Linked DNA regions of Arabidopsis thaliana. The protein of the gene in region 4 interacts with the protein of the main gene of each other region in a pairwise test. Each region holds a gene or a part of one and is shown on either strand. Other genes may lie near its edges. The genes, in order: ZFP5, GATA4, MAF1 and ESE3.

The links.
Region 1: the proteins of ESE3 (region 4) and ZFP5 interact in a two-hybrid assay, tested with the Arabidopsis thaliana proteins (one large-scale study listed by BioGRID).
Region 2: the proteins of ESE3 (region 4) and GATA4 interact in a two-hybrid assay, tested with the Arabidopsis thaliana proteins (one large-scale study listed by BioGRID).
Region 3: the proteins of ESE3 (region 4) and MAF1 interact in a two-hybrid assay, tested with the Arabidopsis thaliana proteins (one large-scale study listed by BioGRID).

Annotation. Positions count from the first base shown.
Region 1 is NC_003070.9:3,446,905-3,452,395, reverse strand, and holds ZFP5 (zinc finger protein 5), read right to left. Parts: upstream 2,706-5,491; 5' UTR 2,663-2,705; coding exon 2,027-2,662; 3' UTR 1,170-2,026; downstream 1-1,169.
Region 2 is NC_003074.8:22,369,649-22,375,069, reverse strand, and holds GATA4 (GATA transcription factor 4), read right to left. Parts: upstream 2,058-5,421; 5' UTR 1,723-2,057; coding exon 1,513-1,722; intron 1,436-1,512; coding exon 923-1,435; 3' UTR 516-922; downstream 1-515. UniProt on the Arabidopsis thaliana protein: Transcriptional activator that specifically binds 5'-GATA-3' or 5'-GAT-3' motifs within gene promoters. May be involved in the regulation of some light-responsive genes.
Region 3 is NC_003070.9:28,952,846-28,961,326, reverse strand, and holds MAF1 (K-box region and MADS-box transcription factor family protein), read right to left. Parts: upstream 5,806-8,481; 5' UTR 5,649-5,805; coding exon 5,464-5,648; exon of another isoform or gene 3,017-5,463; coding exon of another isoform or gene 2,994-3,016; coding exon 2,936-2,993; intron 2,872-2,935; coding exon of another isoform or gene 2,826-2,871; intron 2,726-2,825; coding exon 2,483-2,725; intron 2,375-2,482; coding exon 2,333-2,374; coding exon of another isoform or gene 2,273-2,332; exon of another isoform or gene 2,177-2,272; coding exon of another isoform or gene 2,165-2,176; exon of another isoform or gene 1,998-2,164; coding exon 1,956-1,997; coding exon of another isoform or gene 1,914-1,955; exon of another isoform or gene 1,750-1,913; coding exon of another isoform or gene 1,717-1,749; exon of another isoform or gene 1,584-1,716; coding exon 1,482-1,583; 3' UTR 1,216-1,481; downstream 1-1,215. Other genes in the region: AT1G77090 (thylakoid lumenal protein (Mog1/PsbP/DUF1795-like photosystem II reaction center PsbP family protein)), read left to right, coding at 1-40, 125-236, 354-581, 687-751; AT1G77060 (Phosphoenolpyruvate carboxylase family protein), read left to right, coding at 7,878-8,170, 8,254-8,327. UniProt on the Arabidopsis thaliana protein: Probable transcription factor involved in the negative regulation of flowering time in both long and short days, probably through the photoperiodic and vernalization pathways. Prevents premature flowering.
Region 4 is NC_003076.8:8,705,278-8,710,024, forward strand, and holds ESE3 (Integrase-type DNA-binding superfamily protein), read right to left. Parts: upstream 2,609-4,747; 5' UTR 2,379-2,608; coding exon 2,296-2,378; intron 2,193-2,295; coding exon 1,730-2,192; 3' UTR 1,468-1,729; downstream 1-1,467.

The DNA.
Region 1 (5,491 bases), on a different chromosome or scaffold from region 4:
TATGATATTTACTAAATTATAATCCATAATTGAAAGAAGAATGGGTGGTACAGATGGCGAAGTCTTGTTCAACAAATGCTTTAATCAATTTAGATCAACAAGCTAACCTTACCTGGCTTGGATCTATCTTTGTCTCCCACAACATTATATAACATTATCTCTTCTTTAAACAAAAATAAATCATTTCAAAACTGATAATTAGTGGTTTATTGTTTTAAGTAGTAAGCAGTCTATCCTCCATTATGATTACATTTCACATGCCATGATAAAATGTTGCATGCATGTATGATAATAACTAAACACATTTAGGTGGCCACTTAGATTTATTTTATTTTTAGTTAGGGAAAATTATCGGTTTTCGAAGCCATATTGACAAGTGTTAAATATGGCATACTAGAACACAATGCGTGACAGAGTCCTCCATTCTGTGATTATAGCCTTCACTTCTTCCGTCAAAAACCTAGAATTTTCAGAATAGTAAAGGAAAAAAGAGATATGTAGGTTGATTTCATATTTTTATATGTCGTAAATGTACAAATTTATCTGTCATTACGTAAATTCCAACTCGGTCATACGCTCGTGTATGATTTACTCATACGTAATGCAAGGAACGATGTTTCAAACTTAACAAAAACATATTTACCAAAATTAGGAAACATACGAATTGGACAATAAAGGAATAATACCTTTTAAAAACATTTTTTTTTTTAATTAAATGGGATAAGCATCCAATACACACATAAGCAAATGGAGTTCCGTTGGTGTCGGAAGTGACATGTGTAGACAAAAATTAAAGGGACCTCCAACACTGGATGATGGATCTTAAGCTTATCATTCCAATCACGCAAATTAATTTAATATACAAACCTGCCGACTCCATTTATTATATGTATTTTTAAAGCTGTACAGTTACGAATTGATGCACATATTTGTTTGGAGATTTAATGGGAAATGTCGAATCAATCTTACACCAAATCTATTTGAAAGAATAAGATCTAAAGTCAAGCTAGTTATATCCACCACTAAATTCACTTATTCTGTTCGTTTAAGGAGTATTCAGAATTTACAAACTCTTCTCATTGTCTCCGAAGAATCACAAGTACTCGTCTTGAGATTGGTAAGAGACATCAGTTTAAAATCTTATTTTTAAAATGTATATTCTTATATTAATAGCCATGACATAAAATCGTCTTTACAGTGTATACAAAAAAAATACAACATTCATAAAATCGTTGGATTGTACCTACAATAAGTATATAGGTTATTAAAAAAAAACATCAAGTTTATATCATTCAAATTCACATATGTTTTTTAGTCTCACGTTAGATCATATTATAACTTTTGAGATGAAATTTCTAACAAATTTTTTGAAATTTGACTATAAATCAAATTGAGGCGTGTACGAATTGCACGTGTAAGAACATATGTACACAACTTGTAACGAATACTCACCTTGTAATATAAATACATGCATATGTACCAATAGGAAGAACGTACCCATGGCCATATACACTAATTAAGCAACAAGAAAGTGATTATGTTCAAAATGTTGCCTCCATCAATTACGCAAATGCACCAACACGGCACACAGTATTAAAAAAAAAAAAAAAAAAACACAGCACACAATGATACAAAGAGATTTATGGATTAACCTTGTCAACTAGTATATGTACGGTCAGCAAACTAAGGAACAAGAAAATGATTTGCTTCCATAGTACGATTTATTGTTATTCCATAATTTATAAATGCTCGATCCTCTACCTGACTTTATTTTGTATCGGATGACGATGATGATCGAGAATTTTCTAGTAAAGCCATCTAATAAAGTTTTTTTTCTTTTTTTGAATAATTCCACAACATCACTTGGAATTATTTTTTTCTTCGAAAACATACATAAACCTAAATAAATTACAAAACTCAAATTGCATCAAGAATACTATATGTCTCGTTTTTTCCCCTTCATGATCCCAATGAAATACGCCACTATAGTACATATAATCTTAATCATATATCTCTCTTTAATTTGTTATGCCGCATCTCCGGCAAAACCTAGATGAAGATCCAGCGAGTTAATACTTCTCATCTGATCAGAACGAGAACTCAGATCTCTCTGGAACTGAATCATGTTCGGTCGAACACCGTACAGCTTACCCATCTCACCGCTTTGTTCATTAAGATCTTGGCACGTGTCATTATTACCGAAGTTAATCTGCGACGACCTCGACGACCAATCTTCGTTGTACACACCCATCTGATCATTATTCACGTGCATGGAGGAGAATGCACAATACGACGGCGTTTTGTATTGTCTCTGAAATGACGTCGTTATGGGTTGTTGGTGGTTGGTGAGATAATAGCCGATGCTGGCTCGCCGAGCTTGAAGCTGAAGCCTCTTCTTCTTCAACCTCTCCTTCTTGTGAGCGTTTTGGTGACCTCCTAAGGCTTGAGAATTTGCAAACTCTTTACCGCAGTATTGGCACTCGTGTCTTTTCATCACTGTTAACGACGTCGTGTTTGTGGACGAGCTCACGCTTTCCGCCGTCGTGATTTCCGGCGTACGACTGCCGCTGATGAGTTCGAAGCCGAATAGCTTTATCGTCTTGTCGGAGGACGAACCTGAAGAACTTTCGCCAGTACGAGACATTGTCGGATTTATAGACATATATGTGTGAACGTATGTGTTTATCGATGGGTTTAATTTGCTTAAGGAGATGTGTAAATGATCTTCTTTATATAGCAAGAGAGAGACGGGGGATATTTAGTTTAATAGTTTGTAACTAATGATGCATTGCATCTGTAATAGTATAATATATTGTATGTCTAAAGAAATTTTATATTGTATGAAGGGTTTTTTATATTAGTCATGAACAGCATCAAGTTATAGTATTTTAGGGTTTATAATAAAATTAGTTGTTTGAATCTAAGGTGTGACGAGAAATGATCTTGGAAAATAAACCTTGATAGGTACAATAAATATTACACTAACATGTAATAGGTTTTATAGAGATATATGTGGATACCACGCGCATATGCATATATGGGAAAGAAAAAGGGCAAAATGATAAAACGGGTTAGAGAAATCTTTTAAATACTATATATAAAGACTTAACTTGTCAACTTGTTTTATCTTTTATCTTATGTATTATACTATTATATCTACATTTACTTAAAATTGATCAAATTTAATTTATTTTAAATATTGTGGAAAAATACTTTCTGTTTAGTGCGTGAATAAAATAGTTAGATTAAGTTGAGATATGATGAATAAATAAATATATTTGAAAAGGCATGCAGCGATCACACCACTTGTGACAATTAATACAAAAGTTATATTCTAAGCTTAAAGAGAACATTAAGATGTTAATATCATATTATTGATCTAATATCAAAAGTCAAAGAAAGATATGAAGAAATAAGGCTAACCAACTTAGGCCAAAAAATATAATCAACATGGAAGGTTAAGTATAATATTTTGATCCCATAATGATATTAAATTTCACTATGTATTTGAATAACGCATATATCCATCATAAATTTAAGCGAGCAGATGACATTTTGTATCAAAACGTTCACTCAAGAGCATATTGCAACAAGAACGAAATCAAACGAATCGTCGTCCCTTGTTCTCTAACAAAGTTAATAGTCTACTGGATATTCTTTTTATTGATGTGTTTTTATGTAATTATCATTGTAGATTTTTGAAATTTCCCATCAATTAAAGTTGCTCGCAGAGAGAATTGATGATGGAGCATGAATTGAAGCTTTCTTGTAATTTATCTCAATGTCTTCCACCTAAACCAAATCTTATTTGTCTAATTACTGTGAAAAAGAAAGAAAAAGCCTATCTTGACCATGTTTAATGAATGTTAATTACTTATTACATTAAACAGGGAGAATAGTTAGTTGCCAAATGAAGGAATACAAGAAGTGGGCAATGATGCAAGCATCTATACTATTTAACAAATAAAAATTATATTCATAAGTCTAATCTTCAAAACAAGATCTTGGGCAAATCTTCATAAAGCATGAGAAGACAATATTTTATACAGAAAGAAAACTGATATTAAAGAAAGGTATAGATTATTCTATTTTCAGGTGAATCAAGTCATGGGATAATCTTATTTTAATACAAATAAGTCTAATGAAATGGCATTTGGTTTGGACAGTTGTTCCAATTAAGGACCCCACTGCTCTGTAACTTAAAAGATAGATCAAGACAATTAAGTGAAATAACAATAATTAATCCTTATTAGGTGTTATAATTATATTCACTCGTACAACCTAAGATCTCTGATTGGTAGACTTTCTTGCCACCAATAGGTGTCTCATGCAATCAAAGCCTCTTTCCTCTCGCTCAGGTCCTTTATTTAAAATTTTGAAGTAAGAAATTGTAATATTATATCAATCGAGGGAAAGAAGAATTCCAAATAAGTATGCTGTCAACGATAATCTTTTATTTATCCAATAGCATGTGGAATAATTTTAGCTAATTATGATTTTCTGAAAGTTTCTTTATGGTGGCTACTAGGTGGGTGGGTGGGTTGGTTTCTATAATATTTGATATACTGAACTTATATATATATATATACACCAATTATATATATCAACCTCACCTTCTATATTAATTGTTACATATATATTTGTATATATTATATTGCCATCGAAGTATCAAACAACTTTACACTAATTCAAAAACCATTCTGAAACGTTAGTTAGTAGTATACGGTGTCCGTAAAACTTATGCAACTTGACCATGTTTAAGTTTTAACTATAGTCTTGACCAAAAAGGGTTAGCTGTCGTATTTGTCTCTTTTAAAGGAAAGTTATATCATATGATCATGGGCTGTGCCAGGTACCGAAGTACGTATCACATATAATAATACATGCATTGAGACATAGAAAGAATACTAATTAACCAATTCTATTTTTCTCATAACAGAGACATTGTATACAACATATTTAGTTATTTACGTATATATAGATTTCTTCTTGTAAAAAGATTTATTGAGAGTTCCAAACACGGGTATACATGTGCAAGTGAAAAACAAAAACTTGCACATGCATGTAGATTGTATTAGAGATGAATTGAGAAATTTAAGTAGGACTAGATTTTATTATTTTATTTTATGTAAAACAGGTTGAATTTACTAACCATTTTAATTATGTTGAAGATAATTAAGTGTATCCAAAGAGGGACCCCACCTTCCCTATTAATAAAACCTTTGCTTCTCTTCTAGACGACTCCAAGAGCACTCTGATAGTTTATATGTAAAAAGAAAAGAAGCCCACCAAGAATGCCAAGACCAGGGATTAAAAAAAAAGTCCACTAAACTTAAATAAATGGTTGTTACTTAAAAACTATTCCAAAGGTTGTTGTTACTTAAACTATTCCAGCGAGCATGCATAATAAGCTAACAACTATAGAGTATATATAACTTGTAATATCCATTATAAAAAAAAGACACATGTAATATCGACGAGAAAAGATCAA
Region 2 (5,421 bases), on a different chromosome or scaffold from region 4:
AGTAGTTTCATTCATGTTTTGAGTTTTGTTGTTGTTTTCTTGAGTAGTCTCAATTGACCTCAACATTTTTGCAGTTTCTTGATATTTGAATTTTTGTCTTTCTTTATACATATATTTGATCCTCTTTTTTCTTGGCTTGGTTTAGTTGATAGTTTAAGCGGAAAATTAACCAAATTAGATTAGTTTTGTATGGTATTTCTGGTTCGATATCTTAATGTTAAGACCTTGCTTTGGTTTCTATTAGGATTCGGTCTGTCGGGGTTCTGGATTTGAATAACGGTGACACTATACACCACATTATGGTTCAATTTTCAGATCATTTGTTTGTTCTGTTTCGGTGTTACCGCCTAACCAGTTTAGTTTATTTATAAGAGGTTTAAGCACTTTGTATAAGAGTATTGGTAATTTTTGGTTCAGATGGAATAAAGCGAAAAATTGTTAGATTTGAATAGCCTAAACCAGAGAGAGTTAGGTTTGGTATGGCTTAGGTTACTATTTTTTAAGAAAGTAGTAAACTGAATTGCCTCGTGAAATGCCAAAAACTCAAATTCTCAAGCATGTAACATGTATGATGTATGTATGAAGATTAACCAGCATTGTCATGTGTGATATAACATCATAAGTCACAAAAAGCAGAGTCCATGGTGGTTGAGAAGCTTTTATATCTGAAAAGAGGAAAATTAAATGCCGCCAATGAAATCATTTAATGATATAACTTTAAGGAGAGCCGTGAGACCAATAAACAAAAGCAAGAAAAAAATCAATAGAAATTACCAACAAATTAATTAGCAGAGATTTGCAAACTTTAAACTAATACTGATAATTAAGTCCTTAACCCCTCCCGTCGGTCACGTGATCATCACCGTTAAGATTACGACACGTCACCAAATCACAAAAACCCTTGAAAAGAAAACCCCCAAATTTACTGCGGCTGAAACGGCGGAATTCGAACGCAAGATTCTTGTTGTTCCTTCTGTCGCCGGAGCTCCATAACTTTCCGATGAGAGTTCGAATGCTGAGTCAATACAAACGTCGGACTCGACGCCGGTCTGTATTCCGGTACAAGCCTCCCTGATTTGTAACGAACTCCACAAGCGTTACAAAGTGTTTTAGGTCCAAGCGGTCCAGTTCTCCACTGTGGCGTTTTCTCCGAGGCACAGTGCGTGCACCGCCTCGCTCCATCCGCCGTAACCGATTCAGCGTTGTAGACTTTCTTCGGTTTAGGTTTAGCGACGGAGTGACAAAGCTCTGATTCAGACATCGGAGCCCAAGTTCCAGCTACGGAAGGTGCTGGTGCTCTTGATCGGCGACTTCTAGGTTTTCCGGTGAATGAAATCTCGGGTCTAACGGTCATGGTTAAAGGATTTGCTGGGAAATCGGAGAATGAATCGTCAACGAATCGCGATAACCATTCGAGATGAGCTGCGTCGTCACTCTGCAAAACTCAAAATCAGAACTTAGAAATTCAAAATCAAAATCAAAATTAGGGTAAATTGAAATTTGAAAACGTACGGGAACGCAGAGATCGTGAGTGAAGTCGGTGAGGAGAGTAGGAGAAGTGTAGGTGGAAGAAGGAAAGCTGAAAGGGTTTTCGGAAGAAGCGGCGGAGGAAGCGGCGGAGGAAGTGACGGTGGAAGAGGAAGAGAAGATTTCGTCGTTGGAGAAATCGAGAAGGTCGTCGATACGAAGCAAGTCCGGTGAAGACATGCCGTAGACGTCCATTGTTGACTCGGACTCGCTTACTGAGTATGTATGTGGTCACTGGTTCAGAGGTTTAATATAGAGAGAGAGAATTAGTGTAAGTGAGGAAAGAGACGAAGATGAGAACGTGCATAGAGTTAGCATGCACCGAGACTGACCTGACCACTCCCTTTTTTTCTATTTATTTATCCACTTTAATATATTTGTCTACATTTTTCTTTGAACATGCATGTGCTATTTAATTTACTTACCAGAGGATTAATTAACCATGAATTACATAATGCATATACTAGTCTTTTTTTAAAAACGCATATATTATAGATCGAGCTTATATTCTAAACAAGCATTTTGAAAACATTTCTTTCAAAACAGACACTCTAAACAGTAAAAGCATATAATACTTCAATTTTTATTGTTACGGACATTTTTGCCCTTAAACTATGAACTGGAGTTGAGAATGAGGTGAAAAGAATGTGTTTATCTTCTAAAAATTGTATCCCCATCTCTGATTCAATTTTAAGTTTCTTTTGACATCCAAAGATATATGGCTTAGATAGTGGACTTGCAGCTTCGACGGTAGGCATGAAGCTTTGACGATAGCACAAAGATTTGGTGGTGGTTCACGGCTTTGACAACGAGGGGTAACGAACGGCGTCAATGGTAAACGCTATACCCTAGAATTAGACTTGTAAACCCAAACCGTCAAATATAGAGTATGCAATTCTTACATACACACAATAACACAACACTACAACCATCCTCATTATCATCAAACACCATTAACATGAACAAAAATCAATGTACTTGTAGACATGATTATGAACATCAATTGAGCAATCAACAAAGTATCAATCACTTCTTGAATTCCTTAACCTGCACAAAAATCACTGAACAAAAAAACGTGCAAATCGTAATACTAAATCGTGGGACTTTTTTGTTTCTTGTTTTTTTTTTCCAGATCTCAAAATGTGGGATGTTAAAAATCTAGATCGCATTCACATCTCATGAGGACCGATTGTTAGTCGTCTGAATTTCCAATCGTCGCTGACATCACTCTGTAATCAATGACTCCAAAGTTGTTGGTGTTGGTCGCAAGTATTTTTGATTTCTAGTGTAAAACGTAAAAGTTCATCAACAAAGAAAGAACAACATCATCTCTCTGTAAGGGTAAAAACGACTTTCCCCAGGAAAGAAGTGCCTAAATCTAAAGATCATTTCAAAAGTGCCTAAAATAAAATATATATCTAAGACAAATGCCTTATTTGCAATAAACTCATTATAGATCATAGTCTATAGTTTTATTAATTTAAACAAGTAATGAAGGGGAAATTAAATAAATGCAAGGTTACTAATTTTATTTTTTTCAATAAGCCTCTCTCCCTTTTGTTAATTAAATTCTTCTGCCATCTCCTAAAAAGGTTTTCCGATTTTTTTTCTTAATTTTGTTGAAATTTGTGAGTTGGATCATTTAGTATCCCGTTGAGTTTTTTTTTTTTTTTATGTTTTCTTGTTCAAAGAAAATAAAATAATATTCTCCGGAATGTGTAATCAATCATAGAGTTGAATTTCAACATGACCAAAACAAGGAAATAGAGAACAAAATTGGCTCAACAATTTATTAATACAAAGTGATGCGAATGTATAACTATCTTGTTTCTTGTGCTTACATGAATATTTCGCATTTTGCAATCACACTTACAGAAAAAGAAAGAGACACAGAAGTGGGACTAGCTTCGATCGTTGTAGAATAGAGTGTACACAAGTATCTAATATCATTCTTCAGTAACCTAGCATGTCTTTCACAGGTTTGATTAATAACTAATGTGATAACGTTTAGAAATATCCTTACTACCAGAAGTAACGAAAATTTAGTTTTGATAAAGAGTTGTTTTGACATATTATTTTAAACATTGAAGAGATAACTATAAAAATGTAGTGGGGAATGGGAAAATGGATGGAGACAATGAAGGAGATGAGTCGACCGACGATCCGAAGTGCATTGCACTTTGGTTCTATAAATTCCTATGGCCCTCTTTTTAGGTTTATATATACATATTTTTTCCCTATCATTTATCTTCTTATGTCTCTTTCATGCATTGCTCCTTCATTAATTTATTCAGTTTTTCAACTATACAGAAACTACTCATATATGTACAAACACGCACGGCACATGCATATGATATAAAGAATGGGGAACCAATTGTTGCGAACATTGTGTTCATATTCGGCTAAAATATAAACATTCATATGCATCACTATCTTGTGTTCAATTTTTATGTGGCACCGCCAATCATCATAAGGCTCTAATTCGGGCAGATGTATCTGATTTCTTATGTCTTAACCATCTAATTACAAGGTACAATTGAATTAGAATTTAGGTAAATACATTGCGTGTATATGCAGTAAAAACATATTCCAATATTGTACTTTGGATGGAGGCATCAGTTTTAAAGAGTACACAGAAATATCTCTGCAGGGCTTTGATGTGAGAACAGTGACTCCTTTTTCTTTTCTCTTTTACAACTGCAATACATGAATTTGTTAAAATTTAATACAAAATAATACATTAAGTCACATATATCATCATAATTCATAAAATAACAAAATTGTATATAAACTGATTGAAGGTTCGCAGAATAGCGTGGCGCAACGTGTTGAAGTGTTTGGTCTGTTCCACAAACGTTCTTTCTTTTTTCTTTTTTTTGTCACTAGAAATTTTATTAGAACTTGAGATGGAACCTTACAAGAAACCAAACGCCCAAAAGAAGGAAACTAAGTCAGCGGACAACTAAAAGTCCCCAAAGTCATAAGCCGGAAGAAACAGTGAATTCTCCGGAAACTAAAATGGAATCAAGATACACTAAAAATACAAAGCATAAAGTTCAAGCCGATATCAAGAAAGCTCGAAATCCAAATCTAAGAACATTAGCAAGCTAACATAAACCTTAAGAATGATGCTAGTCCAAAAGCAACAAATCCACTTCTTCTTATGATAGTCCTATGAACGTTCTTTCTATAGTAGAGTTTTGTTTGGCTTAAGCCGGAAGAAACAGTGAATTCTCCGGAAACTAAAATGGAATCAAGATACACTAAAAATACAAAGCATAAAGTTCAAGCCGATATCAAGAAAGCTCGAAATCCAAATCTAAGAACATTAGCAAGCTAACATAAACCTTAAGAATGATGCTAGTCCAAAAGCAACAAATCCACTTCTTCTTATGATAGTCCTATGAACGTTCTTTCTATAGTAGAGTTTTGTTTGGCTTATAAATTAGTGATTTATGATACGAAGCCGACAATAATAATTATTGGCCTATCCATAAAAGTTCTGAAGCTGAAAATATTTTTATAATATCTACGTAAAAGTATTACAAGAGAAAAATACAGACTAATCGGTAAATCCACGTGGCTGCATGTGGGGACCGTTCTCATCTTCACGTTCCTCGAAGATAAAGAAGATTTGTTGTAGTTAAAGTACAAGATAAAAGAAGACGAAGTTGTGGAAAAAGAAAAGAAAAAAAAGAAGACGAAGCCATGAAGAAGGTAATAGAAAAACAAAAACAAAAAAGCGAGAATTGGCTTTGAAAGATTTTATATATACTAGGTTTTTAGTTACTACAAACAAATGTAATCGTAATCGTAAGATGACGTGATATATTTTCCTATAATAGTCGCAACATTTCTGAATATCGTTTATTCGTTTACTATATGACTCATACT
Region 3 (8,481 bases), on a different chromosome or scaffold from region 4:
TATCCCTTACGCCTTTTCGGTTCCTCAAGATTGGAATGAGGTTTTGTCCCTTGGCTCTTGTTTCTTCGTTTCTATGGTTTTTAGTCATACTTTGAGATTCTTTTCATTGTTGTATCAAATTTAGGTACCTGTATCGATCGCTGATCTTGGTGGCACCGAGATTGACTTGAGATTTGCTAGTCCTAAAGAAGGCCGTTTGTCTGTTATTGTAGCTCCTGTTCTTAGATTTGCAGATAGTAAGTTGTCTCTGCTATTAAAGATTCATCAACTTTACTCTTTTGAGTTATATAGGCAATGCAATCTTGTCTATTTGTACTCGTAGATTGATTGATTTGTGTGTTCCACTTATACAGACCTCGGGGACGATGTTAAGATTGAAAATATTGGACAACCAGCGAAGGTGATTAACGCGTTTGGACCAGAAGTTATTGGAGAAAACGTAGAAGGGAAGGTGTTAAGTTCCAATGTTGCAGAACACGATGGTAGACTCTATTACCAATTCGAGCTAGAGCCGCCTCATGTACTGATAACTGCAACAGCTGCCGGAAACCGCCTTTACTTGTTCAGTGTCACCGGAAACGGTAAGGCAAAACCTCTCTTCTAGTCAGAGATTTAAAGACAGAGCAAACACCTTTTGTTTGGTTTGTACACATAGTTAATTGCTCTGCTTATGTTTGATTCTATAGGTCTTCAATGGAAGAGACACTACAAGGATCTGAAGAGGATAGCTAGTTCATTCCGCATTGTTTAGACTTTAGAACTTTTTTGGATATATCAGATCTTCAACAAGTTACTCAAGTGTTTCTCAAGACTAAGAACACAAAGAGCGGTACATAAATGTGTATTTGTAAAAAGTTGAGAATCCTGTAATATTATACTAAACAACATACGAGCAGTGAGTTTGGCATACGGTTGTATGGATCTGGATTCATCAGAAAGAACCAAAACATGAAACAGAGTTCAAAAGCTGGCTTTTTTGAGTTCTTCAAAAACACAAATAATAAAACTTGGAAAAGGTGAAAAATATCTTATATAGTTTGGAGCTCTCAAAAACAGAATCACTAAACTTGGAAAAAAGAGCAAAATATCTGATATGGTTTTGATCAAATTAAAAGAGATGCAACTAAATAACTTTGCCACGTAATGTAAGACAAATAATCAAATAATTAAAGTTATAAAAAAAAAAAGTAAAAAAAAAAAGAAATAAGAAGGTCTAGGGTTCTTCACGCTGAAGAAAGAAAGCACAACTTTAAAAATCCAATCCGTACATTCAGACACAAACACACAAACTCTGATCTTGTCTCCGAAGGAGGTACAACACTGATCCATACTTTCTCGTTTTCTTTTTGACCTTAAATTCCACACTAGAGGAAGATAAAAGGTTTGAGATTACACAGCTTTTTATAATATACAAATTTATTCTCTTAATTATGAATCAGGCTTTGAGTTTAAGGTGAAAACTCAGCCGTTGATGATGGTGGCTAATTGAGCAGCGGGAGAGTCTCCGGTATTTTGTTGCCGGAGCTACTTCCCGGAAACATTCCTCTCTCATCATCTGTTGCCAGCAACGTATTCTTTCCCATCTGTAAGAAACTTTCTTACATTTCTTTTTTTTCTACAGCTACTAAACATTGCAAGAAATTAATCTATCTTGTAGAAAGCATTTTTTTTATTTGCAAATTTCACAAATTAAAAATACCGGGTTTTGAGTATCTTTCATCGGTGAGACATACCTTTCTTCTCTGACAGCTACTAAATTAACAAGAAAGATAGATTTTAAAAGCATTTTGTTATCACTTATCACATATTTAGGGTTTCACTATAATTGTCTAGTATCCATCAAAGTCCTTCAACTTTTAGTTTTCATGTACGTGTATATGTGTATCTCTCTATAACGGGGACGTATAAAGTGATTAATTAGCTTCAAGAGCAGAAGATATTGTGGTCATTGTTACCTGGCTAGCCAGAACCTGGTTCTCTTCTCTCAGCAATTTCTCCTGTTTGGAAAAGATCATAAGGTCATTAGTTTCTAACAACTTCTATAGCTATTTCCAAACATGTTTCCTTCTCGAAACATAAATCATCCTCATCCAAATTCGACACTTTATGAGGGAAAGGTTGGATTTGATCAAGAGTTTAAAACTGCTTGTTTTTTTAATTCTCATTAGGGTTTCACCTGAATGAAGCCAATACTAAATCAGGAACTAAGACAAGACCAAAAGATATATATATATATATATAGTAATCTGTAGACTCAGCAGGTTAATAGAATTCAAGAATCATCATAGCCTAGAATATGGCCTTTATCGAAAATAAAAACCAAAGCACTAACCTTTTCTTTAAGGGACTCGATATACTCCATCATCAGTTCTGCCTATAACAAGACATTAAGATTTATGTCAAAAGATTGTTCTAGGATAACTAACTAAAAAGAAGGTTTTGTGGAGTAATTGGTTGAATCACTTAGTAGCAGCACATATACCTTCCTAGCTCTACTTACGGACAGAGCAGTCTCAAGTTGTTCCTCCAGAGAAATTAGAGAATCTACACTTACATTATCGACATTTGGTTCTTCAAGCTTGCTGTATTCACAAGTAGACAAAAGAAAAAAAACATTTTTTTTATCAGAAGAAGAGGGGAGAAAAATGTGTCGTACTGCTAACCTTTGGACTGTTTCTAGTAACTCCTTGTGTGGAAGATAATTCTGAATTTTTTCTTCAAGATCCTGCACATGAAGAAAAGGAATGGTCAGAAAGATTGTGAAGTTCTTGTATTTTCCAGTAGACACAATAACTGTAACTCTAGAGAATTAAGTTCGGTGTTACGAGTTCAAAACATTGAGGTTTCTCCGGCTTGAACAGCGCTTCTATCCTTCATAACACCAAAAACCGCATCCAGAAGAATATTAGAATGACGTTCTTAGCTAATTACTTACTAAGGCTCTAAGTTCATCAGCATGTTGTATTTCATAACGATCAATGATCTTGGAAATGCTGGAGATAAAACAAAAATGCATTAGAACAATAATTTATGCAAAAACCATTTCAAAACTAAGAATCAGATACTGCATCAATAGAGGCCATTATTTAGAGAGAATGCACCAAAGTGAAAGAAAGCTTATATAATATGTTACATTTGCAACAATTTCTGTTACTAACCAACAGTTTTTGATAATCATCTTTACTTAACCAGGCATCTATATATAAAAATGATAGTAAGTATAAAAGCATTAAAAAAAACAATGTAAGTTACTATTAGTTACCCTATTTTTGAAGTTACTGCTTTAGATATATGTGTTCAAAATGTTTTATACTTCAAATGTAAATCTGAAACTCTGATCATCTGGTGCTCTAAAATTAAAATCTGAATTTACAATTTCAACTTTAAGATCCTGTTATATATCAACTTCGCAGCCAATATTGTCATTGTTTCGACTTCAAAAGGTTTTAGAAACTAAGTGCACACATTTTTAACTCATCCCCATGAGTTCGATTATCTACCTTCTTTTTCTTATCAAGGCTAAATCAGTTTTATAAAGAAGCTCTATTTTTGGTTCTTCAAAAAACTAATATCATGCAAAATGTATGATTGTATAGATTATAAATCACATCCTTCCAAAAGACAAAATCTTGATGAAATTCATGTTCATTTTAAGGGAAAATTTTCAAGAATTCAATGCAATCAGTTTATATTTTGACTAGTCAATCCAAGTTTTAGTTATTGACGCTTTCACACATAACGTCAAACGAATCGGAATACTGAAACCAAAAACCTTTGGCTAAATGATATCATGATACTCCAAAAAGGATAAACCAAGAAACTGATTTAGCATTTCCGGGAAGGTCATGACAGCTCTAATCCTATATATGTGTTGTCCATGATCTATTAATGCTATGATATGAATAGAGACTGGCTTCAAATTCACTTCAGTTATTACACGTTCTTATCTTTTTAGTAACATCTCAAGTTGTGACTTAGTAATTTTACATCAATCACAAAAAGAAGAAAAAATGAACAATTAGTAAGACGCATAAGACGACTAATCTCAACTAAAAACACTTTGCATAGTGCCACTTTGTTAAGGTATAAGAACTAAATAAAGAAACTAGCTACAACTAGAGCTTGACTATTGTAAAATGGAGACAGATAGATACGGTTCCTAATACTTCGTCTATAGTCTGTGCATTTTGTTGGTTACAAATTTAACAAATTTGCTTTCATGATCAAGCATTTATGGAGTCAACATCAAGGAAATGAGAAGGAGCTGTATATATACACATACTGACAAGAGTTACCTTTCCATTTCCTACTTATCCATTGATGATTTTATCTTAGGTCTATTAGAAAAAAAAAACTCACTTTTAGTCGCATTCAAAGTATTCTAAAAGAGAAGTGGATGAGATTTTTCTAGATACAAAAGTTCATGGGGTTAAAAATATCCACGACAAATAACAGAAGACTATTAAAGTCATTGAACATTTGGTTGTAGTCTAGTGGTTTCTCCCAATTAGTAAAATTGGCGACCGATTTCTACTTAATGAACCTACTAGGCCACTGACATATATATGGTAGCAGTAAAATCAGTTATAGTTTGAGTTTCTTTAGCAAAGAAATCCAAACTACAACATCTTAGAGAGCAACAAAGAGTCACTCAGTAAGACATAATGTATCTTGTATGGTGTCATAAACACACAACAAATTACGATTAAAAGGGTTAAAATCGATATCCAATTAGTTAAGTAATGAAGAATGTGTGGCGAGTATCAATGTGGAAACTTATCCCAGCACTACAATAAACCATCAAAATCAACTAGATAAACCTTATTCCTTAAAGAGAATTACAAAAGAAAAGATCTACAATACATTTTGGATCAACATAAAGTACAATGTGTTAACCAATTTGAACCAAAGATATTCGATTAATGTTACCACTAACCCCAAATAATCTCTCAACAAAACTACTTGAAGTGCATTGCAATATTGAATATAATTACCAAATCTCAAAATTTGAACAATCTAAACATATTGTTTCTTATATGAAAAAACGAAGCTTCAAAGTGAACAACAGATGGAACTAGCAATACAAAGATTACTTAAACAACATCAAGAACGAATCACCACGTGTAGAAAAGTTTCTTGAATAACATGCAATATTAAATTTCGTCACAAATGAAGGTAAAAAAAGAGATAAAAATGATTTTAAAATGAAAAAAAAAAAAACACGAAAAAAAAAACACGAAACGAACATCAAGAACATATCTTGGCGATCAAAATGTTTAGTCTTAAATTAGGTTAAAGCTTACGCATCTGCTATCTTCATACAGAAAACAAGGAGAAAATCTCAGTTGATTTGATGGAATCAAAAAGCCCTAGATTTGAAGCTTCTATATGGAGAAAGTAATTAAACAAAGTAAAAAAGCACAAAAATCGAGTGAGACCCAGAAAAGGAAAGTATCTTCTTACTCGTCACCGGAGGAAGAGTCATAGAGTTTTCCGGAGGCAGATACGACGACAACAGCGACGGAGGATTCACAGAGAATCGAAAGTTGTCGAGCTTTGTCGATGAGACCATTGCGTCGTTTGGAGAAAGTGACTTGTCGACTGCTTTTGTTCTCGATTCGCTTGATCTCGATTTTTCTTCTTCCCATGGCTTCAAATCTCCGATAAGGGTTATGCCCTAATTTAATCCTAATCTCCGGAGACGCTCAATGCTTTTTGCTTTTTATTCTTTTTTCTTGGTTTTTTTTTTCCTCCAACTCGTTTTTTTTTTTGGTTAAACGAGATAGAGAAAATAATAGTATTAAGCGAAACGATTGCGTTTTGAAGCCACTAAGAGGCAAATTTTTAAGCTTGTCGTTGTTAAAGACTTTTTAATCCAGTCGGTTAGACCGGTCCGAGTCCGATCATCATCCCCACCGAACAGAAATTGGTTTTTAAGGTTTTCTCTTTTTATTTGGAGGGTTTAAAAGTTATTTTATCTCATTGGTTTTGATCGGAAAGTAGTGCTTATGAATCGGGTAACGGTTAATTCAAGGATTTCAGTTATTATTGACGTAATTATATTAAAGATTGATCGGATAATCAAAACTACAATGCAAACTTTCACTAAAATGGTTTTGAATTCAAATATTTTTAAATCGATAATTTTCAATACGTTTGACTATCACCAATTTATTAAAAGTGATTAGTAACTTGACCACTATCAGTGTAAGATAATTGGTATTGAAAACATTATATTATCTAAAACTAAGAGCATATTTTAAAATGTTTGTTTAATTTCTTTGTTTTCTGAATCCATCTTGTCTTGATGCATTGGGATATTCAGATAGCACCTCCCCGCTCCTATGATGGCTCTCCGAGCGATTTTGACCATTTCACCAACTAGAAAGCCTTATCAAAATCTTTGTGCTTTCTTCCGTCTCCAAGAGTAACCATTACTTTATCGAGTTAGGTCGTAGGTTCTGCCGTGGCTCATTCATACTACGTCTCAAAACTGAGTTAGGGATGGTAACTAATTTGGCTTCCCCATTTTCAATGTTTGTTCGCTTACGCTATAAAGGTGAACCAGAATCAGCCCACGACCCTAACCGGATTAAACCGACATTGTTCTTCTTCCCAATCTCGTTTCGGCCCAATATTAAACCAACGAGCCAATACTCCCTTAAACGATTATTTGGGGCAAAAAGACTCTCAACTCTATTCACATGCCCATTAAAGGCCCGATATAATTTCACCGTCCAAAACTACAAATTCGTTTCGGCTTGCTTCATTTCTCAGCTTCTGGTTAATGGGTGGTAAATGATAGCTCTAAGAATAAAGGCTTTTCTCTACTACATAAGAAAAAAAAAAAGAGAAAAAAAGAAATAGCCCATCTCTACTTGTCCCTTTTATTGGCCTGATTTAGCTTATTCAAAAATAAGAAAAGAAATGGGTTTGTTAATAATAAATCAGTAATACTAATCTAACGGCTAATTGTCAAATCGTTGAGAAGACAGTCGAACGGTAAGTTTAATTTTAAAAAGATCAACATTATAGCCGTTGGTGAAGATTGCCAACAAGCCCTATAAATACTTCCACTAAACTTTTTTACAGCCATCCAAGTGGACCAATCTTTTTTATTTGGCTAAAATGTCAATTGAATTCAGATGGTATAGTTGCACACAAGAAAAATAAAAAATAAAAAAAATCAGATGGTATCAACAGTTTACATATTCACCCTTAATCAAAACGGAAAAAGAGAGCATAAAGCCATAAAGTAAAATTCAGTCTAAAAAGCTGTAACAATTTCTTAAATACAAACGACCCAATTTGTTGAGATGTGAAAAAGGCAAAAACAAGTCACTACATGAAATTGGATGTTGTAGGCCCAATTTGTTGAGATAGTAAAACCGAATCATTTTTTATCAAGCATTAGGTTGGAAATTGGTTGGCCCATAGAGTATGTAAAATCAAAGTAGAAATGGAGAAAAAGTGAAAAACAATGAAATCTTTCTTGTTTATTTTGATTTTTCTCAAAATTTACATCTTTTCGATTGTTATCATCTTATAGGTCTTTTGCAACTCTCTTGCCTTTGTCGTGCTTGTTCTGGTGGAGAAAGGAGTCGTTGTTTTGTGGGCTCTTGTGTTATGTTGTGAAATAGGTTTGGTGACATAAAGGCCCATTTCTATGATGAGCTTAAGCTAACCAAATTATACATTTATTGTTAGATTGCCTCTAACATTTTCACAATACCTTGTGGTTTGAGTCTTTGAGATACTGTTACCATAAGATAAGACCGAGATATAATAACCACGTGCTCTCTATTAAAATCCCAAGCGTGTGGGTCAGAGTCTAACTCGATTAGAGAGAAGAAAAAACTTGTTCGAGGCTTCGAAGAATGTCGATGTTAATGGCTGTCAAAACAACTTCACTCTGTTGTAGCAGCTTAAACCTTACAGCTTCACCAACATTCCGACGGAACCCACGCGCGGCGAGATTGGTGAATCCGACAGCGAGAATCCAAACACGTTTTCATCGCCTGATTGAAGAACAAGGCATTGTGCTTATGCCTGGATGCTACGATGCCTTATCCGCGGCTATTGTGCAGCAAACCGGATTCTCCGCTGGTTTTATATCCGGTTACGCCTTATCCGCTTCTCTCCTGGGAAAACCCGATTTCGGTTTGCTAACGTGCGCCACCTTTTTTTTTTTCTTTCTTTAGTAATTTTTTGTTTGTATGCTTTCGTTTTATTTGTGTTCTTTCGTCGTTTTAGACCACCGGAGATGGCTGCGACGGCAAGGTCGGTGTGTGCGTCAGCTCCTAATATACCCATCATTGCAGATGCTGGTAAAGTTGCAAAATTTTGATAGTATAATAAAGACATCATTAAAGAATGCAAGAAGCTTAACTAAAACCAAAAAAGGAAAAAAAACATTTAAAAACATTGAGTCGTTGATTCTTTACCAAAGATTGAAAGTATCAATCTTTCTTGGTTAGAGTC
Region 4 (4,747 bases):
AAAGTTTGTGGGGAAACAAAATCAATTTCCAAACAGGTACGTCGAATAATCATTATAAGGTTTATTCGATAGAGACCTCGATCCAAAAAAATAATATCACGTTGAGATTCTAATGTGTATCAAATAATATTGTTTTGACACATTTTGTCTCATATAACTGGTTATTTTCTTCTTTTACTTTATTTGTTGTTAATGGATCTCGGAGAATATACATAGTCACGTAGTCAATTTCCACTTGTTACCAAATCAACTGTGATCGCATGCATTCCTACGGAACTTTGAGTTAAATAGTTTGGAACATCTTTAAAAACTGTATTTCTTTCACCTCAAAAATTTACTTTTGGAATTAAATTGTAGAATTTATGTATGATAACAAAACAATATTTGAGAAATAATTGAGATTCTGTCATCTTAAACTTGAGAATAATGAAATCTATGTCTACAAACAAATTATCTGTACCATGCAAAGAAATCATCTGTAGATTTAATAGAAAATAGTTTTTCACGATTTGAAAAGAAACCTTATCAAATATAAGTGGTCATGCAATTTTGTGCTTGTAATTTGAGTAATATAGCAAGTTAATTTGAGAATGATCAGATTTGTTGTTTAAGAAAGAAAAAAACCTATAAGGATTATCAAATTTATTGTGTCGAAAAATAAATCATCTATTGCATGCAAATAATTAAGGTGGCAAGAAAATCTTTAAATCCAAATAATTCCTAACGTCAAATCATTTGTCTGCTGCAATTTAGATGCATTGCATGTGTACTGGTTATATCGCAACGAGCTTTAACCATATTGAATTGCCATTATTTAGCTATTTTGGCTTGTTGCTAACAACTGATATTATATTATCGCGTATATGTATGCAAGAAGAATCAACCGATCGTCAAGGATATATTAAAGCCTGCTCATGTTATGTTTTCCATTCTTTGCTAGAGAATATTTTTATTTTCGTATTCAACCTTAAGGTAGTAAATGTAAATCATATTTTGTTACAAAAGTTAAAGTAGTGGTCGGAAAACACTAGTTTCCTTTTATTCGCATTACAAACAAAACAAATAAATAATAGGTTTGGACTGTTCGAAGAACAGAGTGTTCTAAGGAAACAGAGTAATTGCAGTCAAACACCTATTTTATGTAGCTAAATTATTTTTTCTATTTTAATATAAGGTGCTAGAAAACACAAATCCCTCTAATTAAAAAGTTGGATTTTATGGTCGTCAAGCCACAGCTAGGGACACTCTTTTTCTACTTAGCAGCAATCCCAAATTACCAAAAATAAAAATAAAAAAATGAAGGCCCACCGTTGAAAAATTAGAACATGCATGGAACAAAACCAAAAGCTAACTCAAAATATTCAAACTCTCATCTCTCTTCACTACTTTAGATATCTTTCTTCTCATTGTTGTATCTTTTCACTACATTAAATTCCCACTTTTTCACACACGAACACATGTGTAATTTTTAGTTTTTGGTTTCAAGTGTTCAATTGGTTTACATGGAGAAAAATCAGAAAATAACATTTTTTTATAATACTATACATAACATAGCATATGATCGATTGCTCTTATAGAAACTAGAATCAGTGTTTCAAAAGAGGCCAATTCAGATCAAAATGTCTTGAAATTAGCCTTCTCTCACTACTACTCTCATCACTTACGACGCCGTTTTTGTGGAAACAAAAATAAAAATGAAAAGAATACGCTAAAACGACAAGGCCATTTCTCACAGCGTCTGAGTTGGTAAAACAGAGCAAAGCTCAATGGAACCGTAGTGAAGCAGCTCCTCAATCATTTGCTCGATATGATCTTCCTCCAATGGCCTAAAATTCTGTTGCATATTCGCATTTCCATCTTCCCACTTGATCTCTGTCGTCTCCGTTACTCCTCTGTTCAAATGACTTTCGTTAGCCGTCACACCGTCACTGTCCGCGGATTGTGATCTTGCGGTCTGCGTTTGCGTTTGTGTTTGCGTTTGCTTGGTCATTTGAAGAGAAGCCATGTAGCATTTGTGGAGTTTAGCGGTAAGAGTTGCTGATAGAAGCTTGGAAGAGGAAGTAGGAATGGCATTAGGGTTGTATGGGAAATTAGTACGAGCTCTCGGGCCACACATTAGCCTAGCCGCCTCGTCGTAGGCCCTTGCTGCATCCTCCGCTGTCTCAAACGTCCCTAGCCAGATTCTTGTTTTCCTAAAAAAAACAAAAAAAAAACAAAAAAGTTTAGCATTACTCAAATAAAAAGCGACCGAGGGTAATTTCGTAATTTGAGAGGATGATGAGGGAGAGTTTTTACAAGAGAGGGTGACGAATTTCGGAGACCCAAGAGCCCCAATGCCTCTGTCTAACGCCTCGAAAGCGTTGTTGTGGTCGTGCCATTAGTGTGAATGGTAAATGGAAATAGGGTTTCAGGTGAGTTTGGTGTGTTTGTGGAAATGTTTTGAAAGAAGAAAGAATGATGAGAGTGAAGGAGCGTTTTTGGAAGAGTGAAGGGTAGCTATATAAGTAGTGTTGGCTTTAGCTTCATGAGAGAGAGAAATGTTTTTGTGTTAAAATTTTCTTTGGCAATAAACTGGCAATCAATTTGGTCCTAAATTGGACCCACACCATTACCAATACGACTCAGAAAATCTCATGGATTTTGTTTGATGTGAGAGAGAGAGTTATATTAATTTATTTAACTTAAAGTATTCTTAAATTTACTTCATTTGTTGTATTCGAAGTTGCTGCGACATGGGCAAATGGATTATCTAATTCTGTCACATATTATAGTGAAAATTGAAAGCTTCGAAACTACATGCTAAACTGTCGGAAAAGTGTTTTTTTTATTTAGAGATATTTTTTGGAAAGTATTATCGTAATTTATCTAAAAGTTAAAATAGAATTTAAATTATGAATTAACAAACTTATCACAGTTTTTGTTAGAATACAAAATTACAAATGTTCAATAGTTTCATATGAATTTATTTCTGTAACAAAAGCTAATTTTTTATCAACAAATATAAATTAATTAAAACGGTTTAGAAATCAAACCTAAGATAATTTAATCCAAACCTTTTTCTTTTCCTTTTGTCCCAAGTTACACATATTATACTTAGACAATTATAGTTATAATATCCTAAGTTATGGGGTATTTTTAAGATAAAACTAATAAATAGCTCTAAATATAATAACAACCCTACGTATATAGCATATATATTTATCAATTATTTTAATTTTCCCATTGTGAACAAGTTGGATCCAAAGAGATTTGGCTGCGGTGAAACTTCAAACCCACTGTACCTATTTTCACATGGGTTTGATCATCACAACATGTCTCTATATCATAGATACTGCCAAATTTTTCCCCAACTAATTAATAATAACGATAAATAATTGGAAAATATATAGTTTGATAACTAGCGAGACTCTTTCATCACCATTCTTCACCCATGTGAGCCTTTGATAATGACTCAATCAAACACCCAAAACCATCTTCGATTATCATCTTCTCTTTTCCCTTCTTTAATATTATTTTGTATTGTTATTATTGAAACAAACCTTAATGTATTGTCATCATACCCATGATTTCTGAGTGTACAGTTTACCTACGAGTCTGCGACCTATTAAAAAAAAAACTCTAATACATTATTTTTCAATTAAAAACATAGGTTTAATAATTAATAAATATGTGATTATGCCCATTACTGAAACTTGGAGAGGGAATTAGTATAATATTGCATAAACTTATCTACAATTTTTAGATAGTAGTATATGTTAATTGTATAGGGAATGTCACATAGTAACCACTTCTTATTTGGGTTTATATATGGATGTTTTTGTTTGCCAATTTATCTTTTGTTCGACAAAGTTTCATCAAATAAAAGTAAAGGTTATGTCGATCATATTCAGTCGCACGCATATTTAAAAAAAAAATAATCTCCAATTGAGACTATATCCTTTTAGAGTCAATTATAATTGGAATAAGAGGTAATAGAAGAATATGTTGGGCAAAAGAGTGTGTAGGTAGAATGGATACATCAAAATAACAAGTGCCAAATATTATTAGTTCAATCCAGTATCAAATTGATGAAAGAATCCTAGACCGCAATTATGACGACAAGAAAAACAACTAGAGAAGGTCATTAACTTTTTATCAAATAATTGATCATTTTCACCCTACTAATAATCATTCTTAACCCTAATAATTATTCAACATATGCTTTTTTTTGTCTGTATATTTGCATCCATGTCCATAAGAAAACGAAAAAAAAGAAAGTAACTTATCTCTCTCGGTGGTGTAGTAAAAGAAGGATGGTACTGAATGCTAATATCAGCAAGTTACATAATGGAAATATATATGTACCTTTGAAATAACAACATTACTACAACTGTAATTTTAATTAAACAAAAATAATTTTGATATGTCTAACATATTCGCTTTTACTTAGGTAACTATTCTTTGTTTCATACGTGGTTTAATTGTATTGGTCGATCAAACAATATAGCAAAGCATGTGAGGGTGAGAAGCTAGCTAGCTATAACAAAGACTGTTTTTATTTTAAGTTGCATTGAGGATTTTGTCTCTTTGCTACTATTTTGGCACGTGTGAGTAGTGATGACTAATCTTCCAAGTTTCAACTAGTACCATACCTCTGAAAGAGAAAAAGTATTCAATATCTATCTCCCAAATGCATGGCAATGAACAACAACAAAATAAATACACAATGTTCATTAAAAAATAGATTAAACAAGGTATCATCCTTATA